Linked DNA regions of Saccharomyces cerevisiae S288C. Each later gene encodes a partner of the first gene's protein in a complex. Each region holds a gene or a part of one and is shown on either strand. Other genes may lie near its edges. A codon is read from its position in the direction of its gene.

The links. Proteins that work in one complex are often made in the same cells at the same time.
Region 2: the proteins of TLG1 (region 1) and VPS51 are in contact, whole or in part, in a crystal structure (PDB 2C5I), measured with the Saccharomyces cerevisiae proteins. Residues at the interface, in NP_010756.3 of Saccharomyces cerevisiae: Pro7 (codon at 1,496), Phe8 (codon at 1,493), Gln10 (codon at 1,487), Val11 (codon at 1,484), Asp14 (codon at 1,475), Glu17 (codon at 1,466), Gln18 (codon at 1,463), Arg21 (codon at 1,454), Ile22 (codon at 1,451), Tyr25 (codon at 1,442), His29 (codon at 1,430), Asp34 (codon at 1,415), Gln37 (codon at 1,406), Glu40 (codon at 1,397), Ile41 (codon at 1,394), Asp43 (codon at 1,388), Ile44 (codon at 1,385), Asp47 (codon at 1,376), Glu50 (codon at 1,367), Thr51 (codon at 1,364), Asp54 (codon at 1,355), Leu55 (codon at 1,352), Arg57 (codon at 1,346), Ser58 (codon at 1,343), Val61 (codon at 1,334), Arg64 (codon at 1,325), Asp65 (codon at 1,322); in NP_012945.1 of Saccharomyces cerevisiae: Lys9 (codon at 971), Leu11 (codon at 965), Arg12 (codon at 962), Val13 (codon at 959), Ser15 (codon at 953), Leu16 (codon at 950), Asp19 (codon at 941), Arg20 (codon at 938), Leu22 (codon at 932), Leu23 (codon at 929), Leu24 (codon at 926), Glu26 (codon at 920), Phe27 (codon at 917), Leu30 (codon at 908).

Annotation. Positions count from the first base shown.
Region 1 is NC_001136.10:1,397,187-1,400,645, forward strand, and holds TLG1 (Tlg1p), read right to left. Parts: upstream 1,515-3,459; coding exon 840-1,514; downstream 1-839. Other genes in the region: protein kinase PKH3, read left to right, coding at 1-631; SDC1 (Sdc1p), read left to right, coding at 1,829-2,356; mitofusin complex protein UGO1, read right to left, coding at 2,520-3,459.
Region 2 is NC_001143.9:476,301-479,332, reverse strand, and holds VPS51 (Vps51p), read right to left. Parts: upstream 996-3,032; coding exon 501-995; downstream 1-500. Other genes in the region: ALY1 (Aly1p), read right to left, coding at 1-99; IRS4 (Irs4p), read left to right, coding at 1,270-3,032.

The sequences.
Region 1 (3,459 bases):
AAGAAAAGAGCGGCCTCTGAGTATAGGAAATAATGTAACAACACTCAGCTATACTGCAAAAAATGGAAGCCAGAACAATGCACCACAAAACGATAATGTTGGAGAAGAAAAACCTTTTCGCATACCTAGTAGTACCAAGGATAGGCCCGGTGCAAATTCCACTCCTTCTTCAAGACATCCTAGGGTTTTGTCAAGCAATAACGCTGGTGAAACTCCGAAAAAAATGAATGGAAGATTACCAAATAGTGCACCTTCTACCAATACATATACCAACGGTTCGGTCCCAGCTTTTAATCATAGGCCTTCTACTAATGTAGGGAACAATAAGCATAATATTTTAACTTCGAAGAAGCAGGGATCATCCGTATTTTCTCCTTCATCTTCTACGACCAAGCCTCAAATCAAAACAACAGGATATCGACAGCCAACACCTTCACCTCCACTTCCGCAAATGGAATTCCCAACTACGAGAGAAAAGTATTCTGCTCCTTCTAACATGGTGATCAGTAGCAGCAGATACGAGGTCTTACATACCCTTAATAACAGCCAAACAAACTTTGATAGGGAAATTGCTAGTAGGGGTGCCTCAGCAGCATTTAGAAGTTTACAGAAGAGTAAGAAAAAAAAATAACACGCTTTAATAATATTTGTGGTTCCTCTACTTCGAAACAAAAAAATATGCACGAGTTGTTGACGATCCAGAAAAACCAACATATAAATCATATCCAAACCCTTGTAGCATTAATATCCGTATCACTTATGTATTCAGAATGCATGTATTTTATATATGCCCAGTATATCTTCGATTGAAGCTCTTCGGCATTAGTGCATTGTATTTTTCAAGCAATGAATGCCAAAACTAATAAAACTATCAAGACGACAATAAGAAGTCCTATACAACAATCGTCGTATTTTTCTTTATTTTTTTCGTAGACCCATTCCAATTGCCTACGACCTCTAGCCAGCTTATTTACAACACCGTCCATACCCTCGTCCATATTATCCAACAATTGTCCCTGGTTCTCTAATTCATCCCCCATTGTTTGAGCTTGAATATGCAAATTTTGCATTGTCTTGTGAATACCATCTAAATGAACATCTTGTTCTCTTAACATTTGTTCCTGAAACGGATTGGACATACCACCATCATTGTTCTCAGCCATGCTGGTGTTAAGTGTTGAATTTTCCACCGTCTCTTCTAGAGGAATAGTTGTTTGAGTAGATTCCTGTATTCTTCGATCAAAACGCAACTTCAGAGCATCAAGTTGCTGTTTTATATTTTTAACTTGTGCTTCCCTACCACTCACGTCTTCGTTTTCATCCCTTTTCATTACGATTATGCTTCTGTCCAAATCAACTATTGTTTCCTCAACATCCTTTAAAATATCTTGTATTTCCTCCTCTTGATCGTCATCACCAGCAGTATTGTGACGAGTTATGTAATTGTTTATGCGGTTCAATTGCTCCTTGGTGTCCTTAACAACTTGTTGAAACGGATCTTCACTGTTGTTCATTTGTTAAAGAAAGGATCTTAGCAATACAATTTTACAGTTAAACGTCTTTCACGTTTACTTCAGTTACAGGGAAAACGTAGAAATTAAAATGTTCACAAACCTTGTCAGAAAGACAGCAAATATAATTTTAGTATATGTTCTGTGTTGTGTGCTTCGAATTGTCCTATCTTCTGATATTTACTACTTTATGTCGTAGGTTCGAATATCTCGTGGATAATTAAAAACTCGATAAAAAAAGAAAAACAGATGGTGATCCAAACAAAAAAAAGCCTTCATAAGCAGGTTCTCTTAAGAGAATTAGGGAAACCTATACAATGAATGAAAGTGAGAATAGTCCCCAACATAATGAAGTTACGGTTCCTATGGTAGAGGATACTTCAAGTAATGCTGATATTCCAATGGAGCAAATTCAACGCGAAGACAATAAGAACTACGATAAACATGACAATGAATGCTTCGATATGAATGGCAATCACAATAATAACTCTGATAACTTACAATTTGACAGTGTACCATCTTCTGCAACGAAAGATTTGAAAAACATCAAAAGTGTCACCAACCAAAATGTAAAAATAGAAGAATCGAGTAGCACAAATTCAGTCATTGAAGAGTCATCTGAACCTAAAATATCAAAATTAGAAAATGTGAACCTTGCCGCGACGGTAGGTGGTTCACAAACTAGAAAATACCTGAATACAAATGTGACACCGCATTTATTAGCGGGCATGAGGCTCATAGCCGTACAACAACCAGAAGATCCGTTACGTGTTTTAGGTGAATATCTAATCGAGCAGAGCAATATACTGAAGAGTGGAGAAAAAGAGAGTAATGCTAGTAAATGATAACCATAATTATATAAATATACATGTGTATTTATTTTTCCTTACTATTAAACCTTTGGATATAGACAAGTGGTGGAGGAAAATTGGATACAAAAATTGTGGAGAAAAAGGGCCACTGGAATACCATGGGCGAACATAAAAAAAAATGGGGGACTATCCCAGTTCAGAACTTCTCTTGTTCCATGTTGATATCAACTTTATTCATCATTTGTAACCCATATCCGCAAATTAAACTAATAACGCCAACTTTCCAACCGTTCCAAAGTTGGCCTCTATTTGTATTAGAATTGTTTCTTATCACATCCCATATGCCATTGTATTTTTTTGGCTTTACTATCAATTCAGTGGAATCTACTTTAAATGATAACCGCTGATCGTTCAACAAGTAGTTTAGTTGACAACGACGTAACAGGTTTTCCAATGGTAACTTGATAAATAGTTCAAGTGATTTAGAAAAAAACTTCATAGTATTGTACATGACGGTTTGAGAGTATTTTTCGATATGGAATTGGTTGTAGATGACTAAATCAAACAATTTGTTGAAAAAGCTATTATTGATAGATTGAAGAATAGTTAGGGACCACATATCTAATGGAATGGAAACTCCGTTTTTACGCCATGACCAGCATCTGATTAACTGCCTCAAGCTTCTAGTATTAGTAACCATATTCTTTCCATCTGTCTTGACATTCTTCTTTTTTTTGAATGATGTAACTATCAATCTAGTTCTTATCAGGTCCACAGGTAATAATATAATACTGGTAAATACTCCCGCGCCTAAGGCTAAAATGAAGGACTTAGAAATATCAGGAGAGTTGATGACCTCCATAAAATATGGGTCAGGGACACCCAAAAAAGACGAGAGTAATCCTGTGAACCAAGTATCTATGCTTAGGGAAAGAAAGTTGTAAATAAAAGTCGTGTTGTTGGCCTTCCATAGACCACGAATACCCTCCTGATCAAATAGGGCGTTGATTACGTCAATTGTATGTAGGGACTGTGGTGCAATAGTCAAGGATATATCAGTAGGTTCATGATGTGAATGATCAGTTTCTTCGGCCATAATAGGCGCAGTAGAGTTTGCCTCGGCGATCTTCCTTTCT
Region 2 (3,032 bases), on another chromosome or scaffold:
TGTCTGCACCAGTGGGACGGCATCAGGTGCTGCATTTATATCTTGCTCCATGGGAAACACTGGAGCTACAGTATCATTTTCTGTATTGAATTGGAGCATGTAGTCATAGAGGAACAAGCAATATTCTATGGGATTCCAGCGTATTTGTGCGGAATGGAACTTTCTGTTGGTTGTCTTTCTTGTTGCTTGTCTCTTATTTCAACGAGTTGTTCCCATTTTTGATAAGATGGGGATAGCGAAATAAGACAAAAGAGTCAATATTTGGCAATTCGCTCAAAGAGGTAAAAAGACGGCGCTATTATATATCTGCGTATATATACTACAAACAGCCGGGAATACATTTGGCAAAGTCCTCGTACGACAATAGGGCAATTGCTAGTAGTGTTAAGCAGTTTTTCAGGTGAACTTGCAAACCGAAAAAGAGGAAAAATTGGTTCACATAGTAAAATGCACTCTCTCGAAGGAAGTGTTCGGTGAAAGCCACGATATGCCGCTGGAAATTACAGTTCCTTGATTAAAGATTCTACTGTTTGCTTCAACTTGTTAATTTGGTCTTCATTGGCGTTTGTAATTTCTTTGAGAAGGTCGTTGACTTTTATTAGGTCATAATAGTTTTCGTAAATGGTATTCTTGATAGAATTGTTAGTCTCGGTTTCTTTGCCCAAGAGCTTATTGTGAATTTGTACTAGCCTCTTAAAGGGCAGGTTCTTTATCTCTTCTTCTGCATCTTCTGACCCCTCCTTGAGATCCTCTTCAGTTGCACTCAATTCGTCATCTTTCACTGGTTTCTCAGTGTTTGCTTCGGTATCTATATTCACATCTGTGACTTGCTCCTCCCCAGAATGAGCCTCGCTGGCTTTTTCCCCTATACGTGCTTCTTGACGACCTTTATTCGGTTCATTTTCCAAGTTGTAGAATTCTCTTAAGAGCAATCTTCTATCTTTGTTCAGACTGCTCACCCTCAGGGACTTTTTGTGACTAATTTGTTCTGCCATCTGTACTTAATATCCTCGTCAGATTCCGTCTCACCGCAAATACGCCTCTTCTATGCAGAGCCTCACCTATACGTACAACTTACTGCCTCTTGTTTCCACGCAGCGAAAATTCGATGATTTCTCGTATAAAGCATATCGAAGTTGAATCATCACAAAAAGGCCCATTGTGTAATGGACCCTTGCCACAACAACACTCTCGTTGCACAGGTAGAACATACTTTTAAGGCCTGGGTAGATTCATTTTTTTGACATAGGAAAAGATTAGCAGAGGAGTATGAGACTTTCGTTTGGTAAACAGCGTTATCATGGCGGTACAACAGTAACTTTGACTGAACAAGGAGCTTCAGATTCCCTTCGCGCTGCGCAAGCTATCTTCCAGAACCATTCCAATGAGGTCAGCAGTCCATGCCCTCCAGTAACGGTGAGCAGGAATCCTCAAACTAGGTTATCAGAGCCATCGCTACAAAAGTCAGGGCGGAAACAAGAACAAAAGAAGGCACGCATACGAACAAAACAGGTACCTAAGATTAAAACAACGGCGCCTAATGATGTTGAGTTGTCTAAGAAACACAGGTCAAGCCCTGCAGGTAAAGATAATGTTAGTAGTACTGCTCAAATGGCAGCTGCTTTAGCGCATTCACAATCGAAACTTAGTTCTGACAATAACTCCTCCCATTCTTCGGCATTGGATACACTAAAAGTTCTAGAAACTCCGAACTTGAATGGCTTGCTGGGCATTCATTCACGCTCAAGCTCAAGAAACGGCTCCAATGAATCACTGACGCCTGGCCAAAGAACTCCCGACAATAGATCTCAAGAGAATTTACTTACTTCCTTTAGTAGCGGTAGAAGGCTATCCTCGAGCTCTATGGAGCCTGCAACTAATAAAGACAGCAACAAAGCTCTGCCCAAACGCAGGCCGTCTCCTCCCTTGCAATCATCACTTGTCGGCAGTGGTCAGCTTCATGAAAATGAAAACCTATCATCAATTAGCATCGATTCCAGACATAGTCTCAATCCGGACACTTCAGACGTTATTTCTAATAGGTCACAAACAAGTCTATCTCAAACAATTAATCAACTCTCGTTATGTGAATCAGAGCCATCTATTGCAAGCTCAAACACTACTACTACAACGAGCAACCAGGGAAGTGGTTTGCCCAACTTGGTTCCGAACTATTCATCCGATATGAGGAAGAAGAAGCTTGTTAACAAGTTCAAAAGGAAAGTATTTGGTAGTAAGCCCAAGCACTTATCTTCACAATATGAAATGGATGCAAGCAGCGAAGAACTGGGACAACATGAACAACAACCGAGTATGAGATTTAAAACAACATTACGTAAAACCTCTGTAAGTACAAACGCAGAAAATGATCATGCATCCTCTCTACATGAGGGAAATCTGAGGTATAAGTACAATCCGTCCAACGACACGTATGATGTGTATGACGATACTGATTCTGATTCTGAATCTGATCAGAACCAGGACGCCTTGACCAAGCCACGCAAAAGAGATAGAATTAAGAGAAAGATCAGGAATTCTGCCAATAAAACTGCACATCATAGGCCTATCCACCGCACGAGAGATCGGAAATTCAATGAGGATAAACCCTGGAAATCACATACAGATATAACTTTCGTAACAGACAACGAAAGGAAGCGTTACGAAAGCATGTGGGTAAGCAACAGACACCGTCATTTGAACCTGTTGAGCTGGTGGCCCTCTATAACGGGTGATTCCGGAGCAATTAATACTTTACCCGAAGATGGATTGATATTGGGTATCATAGTCCGTGATATCTGGAAGCGGTCTAACTTGCCCAATAGTCTATTGGCAGAAATTTACACGAAGGTAGACACAAGAAAAGATGGTACTTTAGATAGGAAATCTTTTATTGTGGGTATGTGGCTGGTCGATCAGTGCCTGTATGGCAGAAAACTTCCCAATGTTGTCGAGCAATGCGTTTGGGATAGCGTAGATAGATATGCTTCCACCACGGTTGTGCCAGTGAGTACGCTAAAGGCGATGGCCAAACA